Linked DNA regions of Nothobranchius furzeri. The protein of the gene in region 2 purifies or fractionates together with the protein of the main gene of each other region. This does not show direct contact. Links are inferred from orthologs where the notes say so. Each region holds a gene or a part of one and is shown on either strand. Other genes may lie near its edges.

What was found. The genes of interacting proteins can lie anywhere in the genome.
Region 1: the proteins of klhl15 (region 2) and nudcd3 purify together in Homo sapiens (co-immunoprecipitation; 3 studies listed by BioGRID and IntAct, with this or other methods). This does not show direct contact. The link is inferred for Nothobranchius furzeri from reciprocal best matches to the Homo sapiens genes KLHL15 and NUDCD3.

Annotation. Positions count from the first base shown.
Region 1 is NC_091746.1:39,650,385-39,656,149, forward strand, and holds the start of nudcd3 (nudC domain-containing protein 3), read left to right. Parts: upstream 1-1,692; 5' UTR 1,693-1,855; coding exon 1,856-2,053; intron 2,054-5,765. Other genes in the region: mrps24 (small ribosomal subunit protein uS3m), read right to left, coding at 294-371, 1,089-1,163.
Region 2 is NC_091747.1:63,364,563-63,370,586, reverse strand, and holds the start of klhl15 (kelch-like protein 15), read left to right. Parts: upstream 1-1,949; 5' UTR 1,950-2,177; coding exon 2,178-2,238; intron 2,239-3,402; coding exon 3,403-3,490; intron 3,491-5,768; exon of another isoform or gene 5,769-5,857; coding exon of another isoform or gene 5,858-5,877; intron 5,878-6,015; coding exon 6,016-6,024. Other genes in the region: eif2s3 (eukaryotic translation initiation factor 2 subunit 3), read right to left, coding at 61-124, 1,045-1,113. UniProt on the Homo sapiens protein: Substrate-specific adapter for CUL3 E3 ubiquitin-protein ligase complex.

The DNA.
Region 1 (5,765 bases), on a different chromosome or scaffold from region 2:
GTTAAAAATGTTACATATCAGTTTGGACTGTTTATTGTATATTCCTACAATTCAGTCTAAAAAATTGCTAATAATGTCTGACTGAATGTATCGCAATATGCATTGTATCGTCACCCCTGTATTGTGATATGTATTGAATCGCCGAAATTTCAGCAATACACATCCCTAGAAGACATGGTGTGTGGACTTCTGTAAAAACAGTCATGACGTGGAGTTTGAAGTGGAGACTAAATAATAACATAAATCAGGCAAAGATGATTGATGCAGCTTGATGTGTTTAGAATAAAGTTTACCTTGCAGCATACAGCTGTTACATGGAGGCTTCTGCTTCCTATTGGGCCGCTCAACAAGCTGGACCAAGCAAAGGAACTCTGGAGGGGAAGCAGGTATACAGACCATTTAACGTTTGTAATATGTGCAGAAAAAAAGAGAGAGCATTTTAGAGGCTTGTTAAAAATTTTAAACATGTAGGATCTCTGTTCAAAAACTGAAAATACTCAGACGTCCAGTTCCTTAATCATGAAGGATTTTGCCCACAAATTCCCAGTTATCTTTATTCATTTATTTATTTTTTATTGAAGACTTCAGTCAATCACATATGTAATTTCAATATTGGTTGCATAAAAACAATAACTATGTGACTATGACTAAAATGATTTATGTCACATCACATATCCTATTTTCCAGCCACTATTTCTGTGATGTAAAAATGAGGACGAAATCTATGAATAAATGGAAAAAGTTGTGGAATTTGTTAGTATCTTAAATATCACTGTAAGAACAAAACCGTAATCCTGAGCAATAATTTGAAGATCGAGGATTTATATCTAGTTGTTCCTTTCCACATTTTATGTATATTTTCAAACTCCTTCAGTTAATTTTCTGAAACAAAGCTAGGTGTTCACTAGTTATACCGGTTACTGAAAATACACTAATCTGGTAAACAGAAAATACAGTTTACCAGTAAATTCATGCACAACAGTTAACATTGTCCAGATTAGAGCATTACTATTGTTACGCTGAGTCTAAAGAGACACACAATTCAATATAACAATAATGAACATTCCATTTTTAGATAATTTCCTTACCAGCAGCCTCACGTTCGCTGTGCTAGTCAAGGACGCCGCCATGTTTAACTCGGAGAGGGAAGGTGTTACTATCATTTGTTTATTTTACAGACCAACTATAATTTTTATAGCTATCAAAAAATAAAAATGTAAATATCGTAATGATTTCAGCTTGCTATGTAAATAAAAAAAAGATCTTTCCCCTTAAACGCCGAAAGTTACCTATGTCCGGAATGATTACTGTATACTTGTGTTCTTACCGTACAACAACTGAGCTGTACCAACCGGATATTGTTAATATAAAATATTTTTTAAATATCGTCACAGTCACATTTAGTTGTAAAACACAGAAATGTAAAGCTTTATTTATTTTATTTTAAGCCCTAATGATGCTTAGACATTTAATCATTGTATACGTAACTTGGTTTACAAGAACAGTTTTTTTGTATTTTATAATTAGGAAATATGTTTTAATAATTGTTCAATAACTATTTAAATGTAAATTAGTTTGACTTCCAAACATTTAAAACCCATCTAGGTTTAAAAATATAAATTATCATTGTTATTTATTTTATGTGGGAACTTATTTTGAAAGCACTATACCGGAAAACGGTGAATTGTTCTGGAAAAGGAAACAGTCGCTAAGAAATTTCAGCTGGCACCATTTGTTGTTGTTGTTTTTATTCTGTCTTAAAGTCCCACATTTCAGTTCTGGTCGCTCGCTGTTGATCAGAAGACTTTATAGTTTTTTTTTTTTTTGTAAAGTCTAAAAAAGGTTTAAAGCTACCATGGCGTCACCGCTGCAGATGACTGAGATGTATGACAACGCTCTGCTTGGGATCCTTCAGCACGTTGGGAACGTTCAGGACTTTCTCCAGGTTTATTTCGGATTTTTGTATCGCAAAACAGACTTTTATCGCCTGTTGTCTGGTCCCAGCGACAGGATGGGCTTCCCCCCAGGTGTTGCGGAGAAGATGGTGCTGAAGGTGAGCTATAGTCTGTCAGTATACCATGTTATATTGTTACATGGCAAAAATAATTATTCAGCATTCGTTTAGCATTCTAAAATGTGTTTTTTAATTAAAAGTTAACCAGAATTGTTTTCTAATTAGACAATTAATGTCTAATCTTGTGTTTAACAAAGTTTTGACTCAAACGCATTTAGGTCAAAGGTTATCAGAGAGGTTTTTGCATGGATCACTTATTTGTTACAACATACTATTTTATATTAGCAGTAACATCTACATCTAGCTTTAAATCACATGCGAATAAAACATGTCTGTAAAATCCATCTGAGAACTGGAGGGGAATAAGTGTTCATAATGGCAGACTGGGAGGATAGAGGACAGCAGCACATGACGGTCTGGTTGATGGAGAAGTATCTAAGGACATGATCTGTAAACCCTCACTTTAAAGCTGTGTAAAGCACATGCAGTTATTTTTAGTTTGTCCCTTCCAGGACACCATACCTAAAAAAACGGATAATTTTCAGTTTTCTATATGCTAAGGCTGCATTCACAGTGTTAACTGTGTCATCTGAAACTGTAGTTTTATATATTTTATCAGACTTTTGTTAATAGCTCTTTTAAAATATTCCATACGAAAAGTTAAAAGATGCATCCATCTTTCTATTTTCTACCTTTTATCCAAATAACCATGTATCACGTTCTGGGTCTGTCCAGAATTCTCCTCTCTGTGGGACTTATCTGGAAAACCTCCCAGGAGCCAGTCAGGTACCCACATCACTTTGGCTGACTCGTTTAGGTATGAAGAAGCCCCAGGTCTTTGACTTCCCCCTGGGTGATGGAGATCATTTCCTTATCTCTTAAGGCTGAGCAAATATTGTGACCATAGCTGAGAGTTGGAATATAAACAGACCATTAAATTGAAATATTTTTCTTTTGGCTCAGCAGCTTATTCTTTACCACGACATGCTGACACAGCAGCCATGTCTCAACAGAAAAAGCCCTTAACCGTTGGACCACCTCGTCCTCTGTCCCACCGCCTCTTACAAGCAAGACTCCAGGATGCCTGAGCCTGAGGAAGAGACTCCCTCCCAACCTGGAGGACCTGACTCAATCTGGCTGCTTCACACTCCGCTTTAAACCATCCCAGTGCATGTTTAAGGTCTTTGCATGAAGCCAACACCTACACTACATCCTCTGCAGAAAGCAGAGATGAAATCTTGACGTTCCTAAACTGGACATCCTCTTGTCCATGATGACATTCTGAGGTTCTGTTCATGAACATCCCCAACAGGACTAGCGACGACCAACTCTGAGGCCCCCCAACCAGCATCATGAATGTGCTTTTGACTTGTCGCTGTAGACGGGGACACGGCTCTTGCTTTGGTTGACCTGAAAGCTTGTTCAAGTGACCTCAGCAACCCGTGTGCTACCGCAGCACAGCCCGAGTCTGTATCTCAGGGGTGTCAAATACGCGGCCCGCGGGCTGGATCCGGCCCGCAAGCAGGTTAAATCCGGCCCGCGAGATGGTTGTGTAAACTTTATGTTCATACCTTACAACGGTAGAGTGAACTTGTGAGCAAGTTTTCTCTGTAATGAGTATAAATAAAACAAAGCTGCGCTCAAGGCTCACACAAGAACTTGAATCACATCCTGAAGTTGGCTGCCACTCAGGATGTGACTTCTGATACTGATGTGCTGGTGAAAGCTAAAAGATGTAAAGTAAAATGAGTCAAATATATTTGAAGTGCTGCATGAAACTGATCTAGCCATAGGGCTGGGCGATATGACGATTGTAGACCGTTTTACTATCTACACATCTGACGGTCTGTCATTTTTGAGAGACCGTTTTATCACGATTCACAGCTCTGCTGTTGAATTTCTGCCTCTGAATGAAAAGGGAACTTACCTCAGGCGAATGACACGCCTTTGTTTGACCCTTAACCAATCAGAGTGAGTCATAGTAATATATTAGTGCCCCGCTTGTTTTCATTTGTGTGCGAACAAACATGGCTTCGCCGCGGCTGAGCGACAACGAGGTTTTCGTTCCGAAGAGGAACGCAGGGTTTCCTTAGCGCGCGGCGCTAACAACTTAGTGACGTGACATGTCTCGGAGAAAGCGTAAAAACACGTTGGACGCTTCTTCTGAAGCAGGAAAATAACACCGCTTCTTAAGCAGAGCACGACGTCACCTCGGCTGGTTCACCCTCTGCCGAGCCGGTGTCGGTACCGGACTGAGCTCGGTCACTGGGTCGTTGGAGCTGCCCCGTGACTGGCTGATGGAAAACCAGCGGGTTTCATCAGACTCGTAGTTTCTTGTTTTTGCTGGGGACCCCCTGTATTTTACCGCTCCCTCCTGCAGTCTTCCCCTATTAACATTTAAAATGATTCTGTAAACTCCGTGTATCAATAGAAACGATCTCTGCCTCTGCCAGCTGCAGTAAATGTAGTCTCCAAATAATAAGAGGTGCATTCATCTGTGTATCTCCTTTGATCCACATTAGTGATATTTTCAGCACCAGAATAGTGAAGCAAAGAAAGATTCCTGAGTTTGTTAGTAATTTTATATATTAGGTGCATCTGACCTGTTCTATTTTTCTCTGAAATGAGATCAAATCAGTGCTTCTATGGGTTGTCTCCAATCTGCACTGGAAAATTTTACTTTATTTAGAGACTTGTTGCAGAAAATATTCAGAATGTGCAGTTTTTTGCTACCACAAGCGATCTCTGGTCCAGCCGCACATCAGAGCCGTATTTGAGCTTAACTATCCACTACATGAGCAACTGGGAGCTACATAGTATTTTGAACAAGTTAATGTTTGCACAATACGTATGCAATTGACATGTTTGCACTTTAAATATGTTTACGATTTTAATTTATGTTAAGTTACTTGAAAAACGAGAAAAACTGATTTTTGTAATTGTTTCTCTCAGGGCTTTTATCATCTCTGGTGTGAGTTTAAAATATAAGCGTGTTAGCACTGTGCTGATTATCCCTAATATGAATAAATGTTTATTTATTCAATGTTTCTCTTCTTTAATACGCAATTGAAGTTATGCTATCCATGTTTAAAAAATCGTGATAAAATCGAAATCGTGATAAAATATTGGAAAAATCGTGATATTCTATTTTTGCCATATCGCCCAGCCCTATCTAGCCATGTGATTTGTAAGTTCTTTGAATCACTAAGGAATGTTTTCTTTAATTGATTTTTTTATTATTATTTTTTTTTTCAAATTTTCAAGTACACTTCAGATGTTGTATTTACTATTTTGGATACACTGTCCTCAGACTCCAGCCTTGTTTTATATTGATTGTATTAAAACAAAGAAAACAATCTGAAGTTGTTTTTAACTTACCGGTCTGGCCCACTTGGGACTAGATTTCCCTCAGAGTGGCCCATGAGCTAAAATGAGTTTGACACCCCTGCTGTATCTGTTCTTCGTCTGAGACGTTAACCAGATTTTTAAGACCTTAGAAAGCTTATTATGCAACAAAACACACATGTTACAGCTAAGAGCAAGGATACCTCGGGAGAAGATCGCCTAAAATAAGTGTTTTAACACAAATATTACAGCCTAAACCCCATTTTATTAAAGCTGCACAAGCACAGCAGCATTCATGTATTTTTATATGCCGGTATTTAGAAGCTAATTTGCATAAAAGCAATTGACAACATGTAAAGAAAGCAGCTTTGCGTTAAAAACACCTGTAATGCTTTTCACATACGAT
Region 2 (6,024 bases):
TCAGAACCGCTTTAAACCCGCAGAGAAACAAAAACAACAGAAGGCACACCGGCCTCGTACCGATGTTGATGGTGGCCTGTCTGCTGATGATCTCTGGAGAGAGAGGCGTCAGGGTGGACACGTCCTGCCGAAAGAAAACACCCAGATCTGACAAAACGTACAAAATAACACAGATTAACTGAGCCAAGCGGCGTCTCTGGGGTTAATCCTGCAGATTATCAGGAACAAAGACGAGCCTAACCCTAACCCATCACAGCAGCCTGGGACAAGGTCCGTAATCAGAGAAAATGAGCTCCAGGTCTGACCAGGACCACGCGTTAGACCATCAGAAAGGACGAGCAGCTTCCTGCTTCCTCAGCAGAATAAAACCTCCAAAGAAAAAACTAATAATTAATTAAGGATGTTAGAGATTATTCCTGAAAGACTGATGGATGAAACTAGAGTTTGGAACAAGATGCAGCAGAAATAACAGGAATGTGTTATCATGAGTTTATTGCAGTCACATCTGGAAATGCATGGTGGATTCCTGTAACATCTAAAGGTTTAAACAGTTTTAGATTAATAACGTTTTTATTTGTCTTCTTCTGGACCGGAACAGGAAGTCGTTACCTAACTTCTACCTTATAGATATGATCTTTAATCCCATCCCCACCATAATAACCCTGTTATTAAAGGTTTATGACACCGCCTTCATCACTGAAGTGTCACAATAACATCACCCAGAAATACGTCACCAAAATTACTTCCTGACAGTTAATATTGAAGCTAATTTTTGAGCTTAACAGTCGCAAACACAAAATAGCGACAATTTAGAAACACGTGAACGCCTAAATCGCTTTAAAGAACCTGGAGGCTCCGCTCGTGCTTTAGGAACTCTCCACCCCGCCGGGCCTGCCGTCATGTGCCGGGTGAAGGCAGCGCAGCCCCGGCCACCGCTCACCGCACAATTTCCCCCCGTTAACGGATTGCTTTCGGTTAAACGACGGGCTGCCAGCCTGAAACGTGAACTCAGGGGTGTGTAGAAACCGCTGAAACGAGACTCACCAGAGAGCTGAGGTCTTGTTTGGCCAGATGAGGCTGACCCAGCGTTGTTCCAGACTCATCACCCGCCATCTTCGCTGGAAAGGGAATGAAAGAGGCAGCCCCGCCGAATGCCTGATCAATTTACCAAACCGTTTCTTTGAAAAAACAAAAAACGTTTTACTCTGATCAAAATCAAACAAAAACTGTAACTTTAACAAAAAACGTGTAAATTATGTCCACTTTCATTTATATACATATATATTTAAAAATATCTCGTATGATTTCTCTGACTGAAAGAAAAACGGGTCCTTTCTCAAATGCTGATGCAATTTATCACGTTCGTAAAAGAACAATTTATTATATCATTACTCGTTATAACCAATAAATAAATAGTTTAGATTTTTTTGCTACTGAACACAAAACTTGGTTTAATTAACGTCAATTTAAAAATAAGCCTAGATAAATAATTAGTGCCAGGCCGTCGTTAAAATATGACATCATCAAATACTGTTTGTAGTCTTCTTAACAAGTTTGTAGTTTTTGAAAACCTATGTAAAAATATTTATGTGGACATCTAAATCTAAATGTGACATTTTTAATTAGCTGTCTACACCTGCAGTCTGAATGGGCATATATTGATTCTAAATAATTTTATTTACATTTGTGTATAAACTTAACTCCAGGTCTCTGATGAACCTACATGTGGTGAAACATACATATCATATATTAATATATGATATCTATGTGGTGAAATACCTCTTGTATCAATTAGCTTATTTTAAATGTGTAATAAAATGCGATCCGTTATATTGATATATTTATATCATCTAAAAAGTAAGACGTGCACAACAAAACAAACAACTCAGTACAGTTGTATTGTTTGCTGTTGTTTTTTAGACTGCAGTGATCCATCTTGTCTCATGTACACTCTTTGACTGTCCGCTCTCCCGCCGCCCTTCAGTTCCGTCATGAAGGGAAATTACGTCGGTGCAGAAGATGGTGTCTGTAAATCCTGTGGACCGCTGCGGCTCGGCACCCGTCTAATTTGGAGCCGTGTGGGGGGTATCTCCGTCTGGCTGATGGATTACAGAGAAAGTATGGCCATGCGGCGCTGCCGTCCGCTCTCTTGACCGCGGAATCGAACCCGTAACTTCATGTCTGACGGAGCCAGAGCTGCCTGGACGAAGAGGGGTTGTGGGGATTCGCACCGCCGAGGTGAGACGGTTGGATTTAGCCGCTAAGCTAAAGCTGTTCCCCGGTCACCGCAGCCTGCTTGCAGCTAATTTAACCACAGAGACGTAATTAACACGTTTAACGTCAACGCTTCCACCCCAGAGGCAGAATAAAGCCTCCGGCTTTAGCCGGATGTGAGAGCAGAGTCAGAGCCGCTGAGTGGAGCCTTTGTTTGGAGCTCGAGTTAAAAACCTCCTCCCCTGTGGTGGAGGTACACCAAAGAGGATAAACACACCTGCTCAGGTGTGTTAGCCTTCAGCTCCAGTCTCAGACACACATCCGAGCCTGCTGCTGGTCTGGGGACAGCCGTGATGAATCTGGCTCTCAGGCTCTAACTACAGCAGTTCCTGACACGTTTAACTCACCTGTCCGTCTCCTCGCACCTCAGACAGGCTTTCACCTGGAGACCAGTATTATTCCGCACATTATTTATCATCAGAGGAATAAATTGAAGTTAACCCAAAACTATAAATCATGGAGAAGTTTTCTGCTCAGACGCTTTGGAGGAACTAAGAGCAGCAGCGTGTTTACATAAATATTGTTATTATCATATTTTCAGATGGTTCAGATGCGCAGACCTGGAAACACGTGACCACAACAGTCCACCTGACACAAAAAATCTAATTTTCTTCCTTTCTTAAATTGGGTCCTTGAACGCACCACTGCTACATGCTAATTAATCTGAGCTCACTTTGTGAACGGTCCATGGTCCTCCCTTCTTGAATTATCTATCAGGTTTTCAGTTTTTAACAATATTTCATTTTTGCAGATTTTTGTTTCACACAAATCTTAATAAATCAGTCTTATCAGGTCAGAGCTGCGCAGAAAAACCCTAAACTGGTATCGGTTCTGCAAGCTGCATCAGTGCTGCTCTTATAGAGAACAGTCAGGCATTTAAAACTCATTATTGTGACTTGGTTATGAGTTTAAAGTCAGAAGAACTGAAACATTTATAATCACGACTGAAACGAGTTCCCAGACCCAACAAACGTTAAAAATCACTTTAATTTCTCAAACTGCTTTTAAATGTTCATGCTTAATGAGATCCTGTTGTTTGACAGTTTTAAATACCTGCAGGGTTTGTTGTTGTTTCTGTGTGGATCAGCTGATCTGACCCTGATGCTGCTGTTCTGTGTGTTCTGTTAGAACCGGGGAAACATAAACACAGGAAATGCGAGCGGCCCCTTAGCGCTCAGACGTCACAGCCTGTGATCGCTGGCCCGGGCTCCAAAAGGTACGACGCTGCTCTCCGTCTCAATTCCACACAAATAATCTCCTTCCTGGTGGCTTTAGTCTGGGGTTTCAGCCTTTTTTATTCAACCTTAAAGAGCAAGTCACCCCCAAATCTACTGTTTTTTGCCGATAAACTAAATAAACGAGTGTCTAATCGTGCTGCAGACACGTGTCGTCAATAGTTTGGCACTTCAGTGCATCTTAGTTAAAATTTAAATATTCTGCCTAAAACTGGCAGTGTTGTGCCGTTGTCAGGTAAAAACTCTGCCCTGTATTTGAATTTAAATCTGCCACTGCTATTGGCTAAGAGGTATGCTATGATGTAAACTAGTACATTATGATGTCACAATGCTGTCGTGAGTCTGTGTGTGTGTGTTTGTTAGCGGCTCCGCCCTCTCGGTCTGCCAGGCAACAGCATGTGTTGCATTTTTCAAACAGGAAGTGGGAGTGGAGTTAGGCTCTGGTAGGGGGTGACTTGCTCTTTAAGAACTGTTTTTGTGTTTTCTAAACATAAAAGTAAATCTGGATGCTTTACAGCAAAATCCTGGCTTAATCTGCGGGGTTCACAAATGACCGACCTACAATAAAACCCCCTCAGACCCAAATATTTACTGATTTAGACACAAAAACATTAATATAGTAATTTTCATAATTAACGTTTTTAATAAATATTTTACAGAAAACGTTGAAATTTGAGGAAAAGTTGAAGCTCCTTAATCAGATTTATTTATTTATTATTTTTTACAGTTTGTAGGTTTCATGACCCGCAGCGCAGGCCCGACCCAAACAAGGAGAACTGTTGTGTTAAACGATCAATGTTTATTGTGTTTTTAATTATTAACGGAGATAAATGTGCAGCAAAGACGGAACAAACTTACTGGCATTCACCTGCTTCTTCATCAACATCCCAGAGTTCAAACTTCCTGGTTCTGTTGGTACCGCTGGTTCTGATCTGGATCATGTTCAGTTAAAACTTCAGACCGTCACCATCCGTGATTTTGTTTTTATTCTAACAGAAGCTGTATTAGCAGTCAATGGTGAGTCGGGCCACCTTTAGCAGAACTCGTGTTTCCTCATCGACATAAATACGGTTCCCACCAACCCTTTAAACTTTATTGGAACTGGTTCTTAAACAAAAACATTTTCAGAATTTTATTCTAAGGAGACGTAATTACTTTTATTCTCTGAGCTTAAAGAGCAAGTCACCCCCTACCAGATTCTTACTCCACTCCCACTTCCTGTTTGAAAAATGCAACAAAGGCTGTAGCATAGCATAGCGAGAGGGCGGAGCCGCTAACAAATACACACACAACATTGTGACATCATAATGTACCATCTAACATCATAGAGTACCTCTTAGCCAATAGCGATGGCAGATTTAAATTCAATGCAGTGCAGAGTTTTTACCTGATGACGGTGCAACGCTGACCGTTTTAGGCAGAATATTTAAACTTGAGCTAAGATGCACTAAAGTGTCGACTGCACATGTCTACAGCACGACCAGACACTCGTTTATTTAGTTTATGAGCAAAAAAAGTTGATTTGGAGTGACTTGCTCTTTAAAGGGACGGTTCCGATTTTTCTGTTGAAAAAAACAAACAAACAACCAATATCTCACGTCTGGGAGCAGCATCAGTTTGGAGAAACAGATTATTTGTGGCTGGATTGATGAGCTAACGGCTAGTTAGGCAAGGCAGAGAACCAGGTGTTTCTGCTGCATTTAAACAAGTTTAATCTAAACAGCTTTACAGCGTTGGCCACTGTTAGCATCTTTGCTTTAAGAGCAGCTAGCTGTAGCACTTCCTGTGTGTGTGTGTGTGTGTGTGTGGGGGGGGGGGTAGTTGCCGTATTACTGATATGTTTGAGCCTTAAGACAACAGCGCTGAGCACCTGCTGGGACTAGCAGTTAGCTTATCAATCTAGTCAAAAAGAATCTGTATTTCTCCAACCTGAAGCTGTTCAGCCTGTTTTCCTCTTAGTTAATTTTTTATTTTCTGTAGATTTAATCCCTGAAAAAAAAACTTTGTGTTTTAATTTGGTGATAAAATCAGAATCTGGAGGAATTGCTTCCCGATGACGTCGTGTGCTATCCTATAATCGATCCCTCGTTGTACCTCTGGTTTCCATGGTGACATCAGGACGCCGCTGCTTCTTTCTGACCTGTTGTATGAAGTCGCGGCCGAGCACCTGCTCACCTGTGGCACACGTGTGTGCAGGTGCTCGGCCGTGTAGTCTGGTGAGGGTGGAGGTGTTTAACGTTTGTTGGCTCTGTCGTTCAGGTGATTGACGCTCAGAAAAGGGACTTTGTTAGCATCAGCTGGACACAAGGGGCACTGTCCTCTGATTGGCTCGGACAACCCCCTCTGACATGCCCGTGGCCAATCAGAGGTGAGTGGGTGTTTGTGTGTGTGTCTGGTTCAGCTTAGATGTCCCTCTAGCTCCTGCCGCTCACACACTTCAGACTGTTGTAACATCATGACTTCCTCTCTCTCTGTGAATGACTTCCTGCTCCGCCAACTTCTTCAGGTGTGTTAT